Sus scrofa: one gene and its partners. The protein of the gene in region 1 interacts with the protein of each later gene in a pairwise test. Links are inferred from orthologs where the notes say so. Each region holds a gene or a part of one and is shown in the gene's direction. Other genes may lie near its edges. The genes, in order: CNOT1, CNOT4 and CNOT11.

The links.
Region 2: the proteins of CNOT1 (region 1) and CNOT4 interact in a two-hybrid assay, tested with the Homo sapiens proteins (3 studies listed by BioGRID and IntAct, with this or other methods). The link is inferred for Sus scrofa from reciprocal best matches to the Homo sapiens genes CNOT1 and CNOT4.
Region 3: the proteins of CNOT1 (region 1) and CNOT11 interact in binary tests that used the Homo sapiens proteins (3 or more experiments, as listed by UniProt). The link is inferred for Sus scrofa from reciprocal best matches to the Homo sapiens genes CNOT1 and CNOT11.

The regions. Positions count from the first base shown.
Region 1 is NC_010448.4:20,288,686-20,292,336, reverse strand, and holds part of CNOT1 (CCR4-NOT transcription complex subunit 1), read left to right. Parts: intron 1-551; coding exon 552-692; intron 693-767; coding exon of another isoform or gene 768-770; exon of another isoform or gene 771-786; coding exon 787-891; intron 892-1,584; coding exon 1,585-1,704; intron 1,705-2,430; exon of another isoform or gene 2,431-2,619; intron 2,620-3,474; coding exon 3,475-3,651.
Region 2 is NC_010460.4:13,820,285-13,824,391, forward strand, and holds the start of CNOT4 (CCR4-NOT transcription complex subunit 4), read left to right. Parts: upstream 1-1,288; 5' UTR 1,289-1,534; intron 1,535-4,107. UniProt on the Homo sapiens protein: Has E3 ubiquitin ligase activity, promoting ubiquitination and degradation of target proteins. Involved in activation of the JAK/STAT pathway. Catalyzes ubiquitination of methylated RBM15.
Region 3 is NC_010445.4:53,067,744-53,071,394, reverse strand, and holds part of CNOT11 (CCR4-NOT transcription complex subunit 11), read left to right. Parts: intron 1-1,585; coding exon 1,586-1,788; intron 1,789-3,587; coding exon 3,588-3,651. UniProt on the Homo sapiens protein: Component of the CCR4-NOT complex which is one of the major cellular mRNA deadenylases and is linked to various cellular processes including bulk mRNA degradation, miRNA-mediated repression, translational repression during translational initiation and general transcription regulation.

The DNA.
Region 1 (3,651 bases):
AGACTTTATTTTGTTTATTTATTTTTCTGATTCTATTATGTTTATTAAATAGTGGGTTTCCACACATGGCTTTTTAAATAATCCAGGGAAGGAGAGAAGGGAGAGAAAGATGCAATTGGAGTTCCCCTCCCCCAAACCATAAAGACTAAATTTAAAGCACTTCAGAGGTTGGACAGAACAAAACAATTTAAAGTGATTCTGTGTATGCGTGCTGCACGCACCCACCCACCCACACACACACACAAACACACTCTTAACTCAGTTATTAATTTGGGGTCTCAGATGTCATGGTTGGATAATGCCCTTGTTTACTGCTTTACTGTTTCATAGTGTTTACCATCTTCACAACAGCATAGTAAGATGTTGTGGTTGAATATTTTCATCTTATAGATGAGGATGATTGTTAGACTATTTCATGGTCACAGCTGATGAGTCATAAGTAAAGTTGGAACTTCTAGAATTTTCTAAGCATTTTATTTTCTATTATCCTGTTTTGTCTAGCCACAAAAAACTTAAAAAATTTTTTTTCCTGTTTCTCCCCATCCCAATAGACTGCATCCCCACAACAAAGGGAAATGATGGATCAGGCAGCTGCTCAGTTAGCTCAGGACAATTGTGAATTAGCTTGCTGTTTTATTCAGAAGACTGCAGTGGAAAAAGCAGGCCCTGAGATGGACAAGAGATTAGCAACTGTAAGTGTTTAGCATTTGCCTTTTAAGTATTTTTTTTTTTCCATTTAAGAAATTGCCTCATAACAAGAACCTCAGTGACTTTTTTTATTTGCAGGAATTTGAGCTGAGAAAACATGCTAGGCAAGAAGGGCGCAGGTACTGTGATCCTGTTGTGTTAACATACCAAGCTGAGCGGATGCCAGAGCAAATCAGGCTAAAAGTGAGAATTGGGGGCTCTTGTCTCTCTGCCCCATCTTTGTTTTTTTCCTGTTCTTGTTGCTTAAACTCCTAACCTGGACTAGGATAATGGGGTTAAATGCTGTTTCTGAGAAAGCATTTCATTTCACTTAAAGGCTACCTGTGGAAAAGGCATAGAAATAACTTAGATGTCTTTTCTCCACCCCTCCCCGCATTGTTGAAATGCTGCTAAGAGTTCATATGCCTGTTGGTTTTTATATTTCCCCACTTGTTCTTCCCTTCTGGAGCTTGAATTTTTATTACTAGTTCCCGGTTGGTGAAAAGATCTGATCATTTCTACCAGCTCCATTGGAGAATTACACTGGCATGGTCCTACTTGGGACATTTTCAGTAGAAAAACTCTAATTTATAAATGAGGACAACACTGACAGTTCTCAGGGAAATAGGAAATACTGTGAACTGTGCATGTGTATGTATGCATGCATATTAGTTGTGTTGTTAGATGTTGTAATGAGTATGCATACATATTCAGTCATGTTAAATGTAATGAGTATGCACACATATTCAGTCATGTTGTTAAATGTTGTAATGGCTCCTGTGTCCCTTCTCAAGAATACCTGCCTGTGCTTACTCCCATGCAAATCTTCCAGTTGGAAAAAAAAAGTTTCCTTTGATTGTGAGGAGGATCCTGTAAAATAGATTTTCTTCTTCCAAGGTTGGTGGTGTGGACCCAAAGCAGCTGGCTGTTTATGAAGAGTTTGCACGTAATGTGCCTGGCTTCTTGCCTACAAATGATTTAAGCCAGCCCACAGGATTTTTAGCTCAGCCCATGAAGGTAAATCTTGTCTTGACTTAAATTGAGTAATTTATAGTTTACATTGAATGGTTTTTTGAATTAATTAATTAATCTGTCACTTGTTCCTGGAAGCTTAAGTTACAGGGGAAAAAATTACCCAGCATTGTTGAATTGTAGATTATAGGTGTTCTTTGTATCAAATCAGCATGGCATTCAGGATTTTTTTTTTTAAATCCATGAGATTGATTTAACTTTCATGTCTGACCTAATTAAAGGAATTTACGTAGTGATCTCATGGCCTTCCCTATTCTTTGTAAAGAGATTTTCTAGAAATGTGAAACAAATGTTCCCCTTGTGGCTCAGTGGGTTAAGAACCCAACAGTGTCCGTGAGGATGCGGGTTCAATCCCTGGCCTAACTCAGTGGGTTAAGGATCCAGCTTGCTGTGGCTGTGGTGTAGGCCTGCAGCTGCAGCTCTGATTCTACCCCTAGCCTGGGAACTTGTATATGCCGCAGGTGCGGCCTTAAAAATAAAGGGGGAAAAATGTGAAATGTTATTTACAGAAAAGTTGAAAATATAAGGAGGAAACATTTCCTTCTTGAACTGTTTGAACATTTGGACAGGTACTGACCTTGATGTTCCAGTCCCTCTTTTTTCCCCAATATTTTATTTAAATTTTTTTTTTTTTTTTTTTTAAAGTATAGTTGATTTACAATGTTGTGCCTCCCAGTCACTCTTCAGTCCTGTTATCTGTGTTTCCTACAGAGGCGTTCTCCTGTGTGACCTGGTGTGATCATTGAAATCAGGAAGTTAACACTGATATGTTAATATCATCTAATCCTTAGACCTCATTCAAGTTTTACCAAGTGTCCCAGTACTGACTTTCTGTAGTAGAAGGACCTAAATCAGAATCACACATTTTATTTAGTTGTCATATTTAAATTTTTCCCACAGGTTAGTCTACTATAGCTCCTTTCTTATCTTTCCATGACCTTGACACTTTGACATTATAGATCAGTGATTTTGTAGAATGATGTGATTTGGATTTGTTCAGTGTGTTCTCAGGTAGTGCATCTTTGATAGGAATATCACAGAAATGATGCTCTATTCTTATTTTATCTTGTCAGGGTTTGACAGTTGGACTGAATAGTTTGTTTTTCATTGTTTGGATTATGTACTTTCATAGGTTGTAGAGATTATTAAATGCTACAGGTGGTCCTGCCCTCAGCCTATCCCATTATTTATCTTTAAAAAAAATTATTTTTTTTATTTTTATTTTTTGCTTTTTTAGGGTCACACCAGCGGCATATGGAAGTTCCCAGGCTAGGTGGTCAAATTGTAGCTGCCGCTGCTGGCCTGCACCAGAGCCACAGCAAAGTGGGATCCGAGCCACGTCTGTGACCTACACCACAGCTCATGGCAATGCCAGATCCTCATCCCATTGAATGAGGCCAGGCCCACATCTCATGGATCCTAGTTGGGTTCACTAACCGCTGAGCCACGAAGGGAACTCCCATATCCCGTTATTTATCATGTTCTCTTTCATCACTTGATTGTGTTGGTGTTTGCCAGGCTTTCCACTGTCAAGTGAAATCCCCACTCCTCCATGCTTGCTTTGCACTGCCATACCTAATGGCATTAAGTCCTAATAATTCAGGAAGGGGAGTGGAAGCCCCTCCATGTTTTGATGAGAAAGAAAAAATAAATAAGAATAGTAAACATATCAGTAGACTTTTCATTTGCTACATGTGCTGGTAGAAGATCATTAAAATTTTTTCTCTTTTTTGATTGTATCCCCCTCTAAAACAGCATGCTTGGGCAGATGATGTAGCTCAGATTTATGATAAGTGCATTACAGAACTGGAGCAGCACCTTCACGCCATCCCACCAACTTTGGCCATGAACCCCCAAGCTCAGGCTCTTAGAAGTCTTTTGGAGGTTGTAGTATTATCTCGAAACTCTCGGGATGCCATAGCTGCTCTTGGA
Region 2 (4,107 bases), on another chromosome or scaffold:
GCAACTTCAAGTTTTTGGTAAATTGTGAGTTTATTATATATTTAAGTTTCCACCAAATAACTGGTTCCAGGCTTAACAGTGAAGAAACTGAAACACAAAGAACTAACGTATTTTTAAAAAATTAAATGAAGTCTTCTCAATGAGATTAGGTCTACAGATTTAAAATTGCAACCTCTTTCCCTATTCCCCTTCTGTTCAATTTTTTTCATCAGTTACCGTATAATATGCATTTTAATCATGTCTTAAAAATTGCTTCCTTTCCCTTTTATTTCACCTTAACACACACACACTAGAATAGACACAGGAATTCCTGGAAGAGGAATTTTGTCATTTTGCTGGCTGTCACCTCCCCATGTATAGAACAGCGCTGGGCACATAGGGGGAGCTCATTGAGTATTTGTTGCATGAATGGGTGAAGAATTCACGCAACAAGCAAAACCAACTGCGTCAAGCGGCCACTTCCATCAGAATTCTAGGAGGCATGTGGGAGGGACCAGAAAATTGATTTTTGAGATTGAAAATTCCTCGGCGCTCTTTGGGATTGCGAGAGCATTCTTGTACTCCTTGGGATGTATGGATGTATGAAGGGTTTGTGAACTCTGCGCGCAGAGCTGTGCAAGCTGGAAATCGAACTTAAAATAATTTGCACCTAAATCCGTAAAATGTTCTCAAATTTATATAATCAGAAACACATTTTTGTAAACGCATGGGTCTTCTGTTCTCTTGTACGTATATACAGGATAATTTAGAGTATCTTTTCACTGGAGATTCATGGTGAAGATCGGATCAAGGGTGGTGGCTCCAAAATGCACAAACAGGGGAAACGAGTTAACATTCACCTTCCACAAGCAGATGCCAATTCAGTATCCAATTCCCACCCTAGATCAAATCCCGCGCCCCTCCTACCTTCCACCTGCCTCTACCCTGCCTCCTTTAATACCTACGGTAGGCGGGGTCAGAAAAGAGAAGGTCTCAGCTCCCCCAAATTGGTTACGCCCGCCGCGAGTTCTGGTTTCCCATATTTGAGCAACACCGAGGAAACGGAACCGCTAACGAAGGCCGCCGACCAAATGACAAGAGAAGCAGCACCGGGCCGAAAAGGAAGCAAAACACGGAGAAAGGCAGTAGTGTGGCAACCACGTGAGGTAGGCGATCCGGTCCGCCCTCCGAGTGAGAACTTCAATTCCCGGCTTGCAGCTGGGCGGTTACCCTCCGAGGACTACAACTCCCAGGGTGCTGCGGGACCGGCCGCCGGCCGCTCCTCCCGCCCCTCCCCCGCCCCTCCTGGCCGGATCGGCGTGCGCCTGCGCACGGGAGGCCGGAGGAGTCTTACCCTAATGTAAGATGGTGGCCCGTCTGGCTGTGGAACCCACCGAAAGCTGAGAGTCTCCCTCTCAGCCGTAAAGGTCGGACTCGCTGAGGCAATCAGGCCCGGTTCTGAAGAGTTTTTTCCCCGACACTCGTTCAGTGGTTTCTTGTGAGGACGCGGCACCGCGTGGAGTCGGCTAAGGGAAAAGCGAGGCAAGGCAGGCGGGTGAGTCTATGCGGGGCTGGGCTTAGGGGAAACCCGGGGTTGACCGGCTACGAGAGAGCGGAGGCTTCGCTGGGACTGTGCAGGCCGCACCCCCCTTTCTCCCCACCCCCCGCCTCATCTTCACCCTCCTCCTTCTTGGTCTTCCTCCTCCTCCTCCTCTTCCTCCCTCTTCCCTCTACGCCACAGCAGTTACCACCAGGAAAAGGGAGCGGGGCAGAAGGCAGCGCGGCGGCGAGCACCGACTGCTTCGAAAATCTCTTTAATTGGGCAGCCGAGGAGGCTGCTCGTCTTCAACGCTCTCCCCTACATTTTTGTAGGGGCAAGAAATCTTCGGTCTCAGGACTCCTTGTTTTCCCAGCCCCCTTTCGCCCCTCTGACGTCCTTTCCCAGTGGCCCCCGTCTCCCAAGACCAAAGCCATCACTTCCACTCTGACCTGTGTTGCTGCTGCTCATTAATCCCACTGCTCGTTGCCCACTCGTGCTGCTGCTTGTTTTTTGCTCCCTGCTACCACTCTGGAGTTAGCCTTTGCCCCCCTCTCGTGCTTGCTTTTAGCCCCAGCCTACCTGCTACCCTTAGAGCTTCTTCCGATTTGCAGTCTTTCCTTTAACCACATCTGTCATTTTAAAGCTGCCCCTTAAAGTATCTAGATTACGCTGCTGCTTGTACTAACCCACCTGTTTCACAGCTTTCTTGGGTATTGTCCGTTCCTTCCCTCTTTGCTATACAGATTCTTTCAACATACACTTCCAGAAAAAAAAAAAAAAAAAAAAAAAAAAAAAAAAAAAAGGGATGCCCCGTGTTGGCCCCCGAGAAGTCAAGGAAGTTGGGAAGTGAATGAAGTGAGGTAGGATACTATTAAACATTGTGAGTGAAGATCGTTTATTCAGGCTGCCCCGGAGAGGAACGTCTTCGTTTTGTTTCCAGGGATCTGGTTGTGGATTATTCGCTCTGTTGGGACTTTTTGTTTTTGCTTTTTGGCTTTTTTCCCCCTCCTTTCTCTTTTCATTTTGAACCGGTTTCTCCATGCTGTCTAGCGTTCTTCTGAATTGCCTCTCCCCAGGACACTTAATGTGGGCTCTGATTACACCAACAAATATTAGCCTAGGCATTTCAAAATAAGATAAATCTGGCACACAACCAAATTTATCTGTGAACTCCGCAAGCAAATTAACAGTGGTAGTTTGATTATATGCAGGTTTTATGTGGGCTACAGAACCCTTCCAAATTGAGAATTGATTATTGGCTCAGTGAGTTTTATTGATGTGCAGCTTAATTGATGACATTTTATTTATAGTTTGAGTGGAAATTTCCTCTCCAGATTATATCAGATCTACCTAATATTTTTGGATTTGGAAAGTTCTTTCTTTTAATATTTCTAGGACGGTAGGTATCTGAGTAAATTATCTTCTCTTGAAAACCACTAGGTGTGTATGCAAAAGAAAAATTGATTTTCAAAACTAAATCGCTCATTTTTTCCATAGAAAAGAAGGAGACTGGAAAAAGAAATGGCAAACTCTGCACATATGTGCATTTGGTGGCATTCATTGTCATTAGTATTTATATTAAAAAGCAGAAAACTAGAAGTCAAGAATGGCTTATGATGTCTGTTTTGGTGAAAGCTAAATTGAGATGTACTGATTAATGGCATAATGGGAAGAGGGAGCTTTTGCTATAATCAGACTGCTGTGAAATAAAGAATTATCAGAACAGCAAACAGAATTACATAGATCAGATATGTACAGCTCAAGTTTAAACATAAACATTGTGTTCTTAAGATATATGTAAAAATATTAAAAGTCATAGTAGTAATCTCATGCAGCAATATACCTCTTATTTGCGAAAGTAATAATACCTCAAGTATAAATGTAAATACATATAGCTGCCTTTTTAATCACTTTTGGGCATTACTGTATTAATGTGATTTTTACAATTTTATCTGTAATACTTGAGGAATCTTACATTTGGCATTATATTCACTTGATTATGATAAATGGTCTGTTTTATCAAGTGTCAGCTGAGGTTAGTAAAGCTGTTTATGAAACTTCATTTTTCCTTTCAGCCACTTAAGGCTCAAATTGTGGAAACTAAATAAATTCCTACCGTTCTGAGAATTGGAAGCAATTTATATAGCAAACCTTGTCCTAAGTTGTAACCTGAGATTTTTTTTAAGTATTATTAATATTTAGTTTATCAGTAGGAATATATTTAATACAATTGATCTTCAACTCTAAGCAAAAAATATATTTAATTTTCTTTGAATGATGGAGAAGCTTTCCACTTTGAATAATCCTAACACACAGGTTTAGAAACCCTTGGCAGTCATACTTGGCTGAATTGTAAGCAGTGTGTTCTAGGAGAGAACTGTTTGGCAGAAGAGGGAAATGATTTTAATACATCTTTTCTTTTGTAAAGATACTTTGCTTCACTAAAAACATTCTCAAGTAATTTTCTTCACTCCATACTATTTTCCTGCAATCATCAAATTCTTGGTTTCAGCACTCTGAAGTCAAAATGAATTTACTTTGGTATCTTTAACACATTTAAAGAAGATAGCTCAAGTTCTTTGACATTT
Region 3 (3,651 bases), on another chromosome or scaffold:
GTTGATTTACAATGTTGTGTTAATTTCTGCTGTACAGCAGTGTGATTCAGTTATACATGTGGGTACATTCTGTTTCATACTCCTTCCTTCCTCTCTTCCTCTCTCCCCCAACGGGAACTTCTGCAGTCAGATTCTTAACCCACTGTGCCACAGCAGGAACTCCTCATATTCTCTGCCGTTACGGTTTTGATAGGATGTTGAATACAGCTCCCTGTACTCTACAGTAGGTCCTTGTTGGTTATCCATCCTGTATAGACTAGTTTGCATCTGTTAATCCCAAGCTCCCAATCCTCTCCCTCTCCACTCCGTCCCCCTGGCAACCACAAGTCTGTTCTTTATTTCTTTGAGTCTGTTTCTGTTTCATAGATAAGTGCATTTGTGTCGTATTTTAGATTCCACATATGTGATATCATATGATATTTGTCTTAATCTGCTTATTCCACTCAGTATGATCATCTCTAGGTCCATCCATGTTGCTGCACATGGCATTATTTCATTCTTTTTATGGCTGAGTAGTATTCCATTGTGTATATACCACGTCTTTAGCCACTCCTGTCAGTGGACATTTAGGTTGCTTCCATGTCTTGGCTATTGTGCATAGTGCTCCAATGAACATAGGGGGATGCATATATCCTTTTGAATTATGTTTTTCTCCAGATAGATGCCCAGGAGTGGGGTTGCTGGATCACATGTAAACTCAAAATCTTTTTTGAGGAGACTCCAGACTCAAAAAAAATTTTCCATTGTGGCTGCACCAACTTACACTCCCACCGAAAGAGGTTTTCCTTTTTTCCACAATAAAGGGGTGATTCTTAGCCAGAAAACGGACATTTTCAGTAAACTAGAGTATATACAAATGTCAGATTCAGCAGGGGCTGGGTCCTTGAGAGGGGTAAGCCATCTTGGGCTTTATGTGGAAACCAGAGTGAGGTGGGACCTTCATTCAGAAGTTCTAGCTAGCATTTATTTTAGTGGGTTTAAAACTTAGGGATCAATATTTCATAAAATAGTTAAGGTGTTATAGTGAGTCACTTTTATTATCCTGTTGTACCCTTATGAGAATGATAACAACGTTTGTGAACTTAGGGATTTTTGGAGGGCCCCAGACTCATTTGAGAATGTCAAAAGTCAGCCATACTTTTCCTCTGCCATTTCATCTCCACATAATCTGCTACTTCAAGGTCAGAAGATGCAAAAATAAAACTAGTGCACATCATACAGTCTCTGCTGAGAATAGGATGAGTGAGATCAGAGAGTACTTTTTTTTCCATCAAAAGACACTGAGGTAGGAAGTTGTGTCCTTTTGCTACTGAGTGGTGATCATGCTTGAACTAGGAGTTGGTGGGTTGTGGTAATGCTTTCCTCTCCTTTCCAAATAGGTAGATTTGGTCTCTGGAACCAAATCTAACGTTACGTCACTTTCATTTTCTTGTGTTCTGAATAAAACCCTGACCTCCTCATTTCTGCTTCTGAAGTCAGTGTTACCTAAGTGCTGTCCTTATTAAGAGAGTCACTGCACTGGGTTGAGGGGTGTCTGCGAGGTGTGTACAGACGGGCACAAGCAGACATGCTGTTTTCTTTCCAGGCCACTTCCGGCCGGAGTTCATTCGCCCACCACCTCCCCTGCACATCTGCGAGGACGAGCTGGCCTGGCTGAACCCCACGGAGCCTGACCATACGATTCAGTGGGACAGGTCAATGTGTGTGAAGAACAGCACTGGTGTGGAAATCAAACGAATAATGGCCAAAGCCTTCAAGAGCCCCTTATCTTCTCCTCAGCAAACACAGGTATGTACTGTAAACATTCAGCAAGTGTTCTTGTTTTCCATAAAGTGGCATCTTGACAGTGTCGTATTACTGGAGCCAGCAGTGGGAAGCATTTTGGTCTCTGAAGCTTTATTCTGCCTCCCGCACTGCTCATTTTATCTGGTGACTTGAAAACAAAGCACCTGTGTTCGGAGTCAGTGTGACTCTGGACAGGGCTCACTTCTGGTCCTGTTGTGTACGTTGTTACTGAGCTGCATGGGGCTGCAGGAGGGTGAGCAGACCTGTAACGTTCTGCCAGGAAGGGACGCCGGGCCCACCTCCCAGCTGCTTCGTGCTGGATTCGAGATTCAACTACAGGACTCTTCCTGGGGGAAAGGTGGGCCACTGCAGCTGCTTCCCGTGGGTGAGTGTTACTCAGTTTGCACACTTTCACCTTAGAACTTGTCAGAGGATAGAGCTGCAGTCCACTTTACCACCCAAAATACCATTGTCAGAGTCACATACTAGCCATGTTCACAGTTGACTCTGCTCACTGACTAGACCATCCTGAAATACAACACATGGTATATACAAGGAGACGGCAAGGGCAGAGAAAATTTGAAGGAAGCACTGCTTTGGCAGAAACACTGGTCTTGGAGGGCCCCACTTGGGTGAGAGTGTGACCTGCACAGTAAAGAACCACACGGACCCCCCTCGAGGATCTGTCTTTCCACAGCTGAGCAGGGCTCTGGCTTCTCATGTTCCCTGAAGAGCTCTGTGCTCTTCATGACTTCCAGTTGGAAAGATGACTTGTTTATTTTCAGTAGCACCTGCAGCATGTGAATTTCCTGGGCCAGGGATTGAACCCACACCCCAGTGGCAGCCTCGGCTGCTGCAGTGACAATGTGGGATCCTTAACCTGCTGAGCTGCAAGAGAACTCCTAGGTTTGTTTTTTTTTTTTTTGTCTTTTTTGTCTTTTTGTTGTTGTTGCTATTTCTTGGGCCACTCCCGCGGCATATGGAGGTTCCCAGGCTAGGGGTAGAATCGGAGCTGTAGCCACCGGCCTACACCAGAGCCACAGCAACGCGGGATCAGAGCCACGTCTGCAACCTACACCACAGCTCACGGCAACGCCGGATCGTTAACCCACTGAGCAAGGGCAGGGACCGAACCCGCAACCTCGTGGTTCCTAGTTGGATTCGTTAACCACTGCGCCACGACGGGAACTCCTATTTTTGATTATAACAAATGACAGGGGAAAAAAAACCCATGAAAGATTTAAGGATGGTATTGTTAGAAATCAGACAGTATTGTATCCAGATCAGACAATATTGATTCTGGTTTAATGCCAGGAGTAATCACTAGTGTATTTATATACTCTTATTAGGAAAGGTGCATGATGCTAGTATCTGACACTTCACAAAAATAAATAAATAAATGAGTTCCCCTTGTGGCTCAGCCGAAATGAATCTGACCAGCTTCATGAGGACACAGGTTCGATCCCTGGCCTTGTTAAGTGGGTCAAGGTGTGGCTGTGGCGTAGGCTGGCGGCTCCTGCTTTGATTCGACCCTTAGCCTGGAAACCTCCACATGCTGCTAGTGTGGCCCTAACAAGACAGTCTGACAATTCAAATGTAAATTTTAAATATCAAAGCATGGGGATCATGGGTTTGAGGATGTTCATGAAGTTGGTTCAATGCAGATAAAAATGTCTTCTGTATAAATTTTTTTTTTTGTATGCAGGAAATAGAACTATTTTTTTGGCTGCAACTGTAGCATGTAGAACTTGTAATCTGACTCAAGAACCTTTTTCTCTTTTTGAAAATTTGATTGTATTTAGCTCCTGGGAGAGTTGGAAAAAGACCCCAAACTCGTTTATCATATTGGTCTCACTCCAGCCAAAC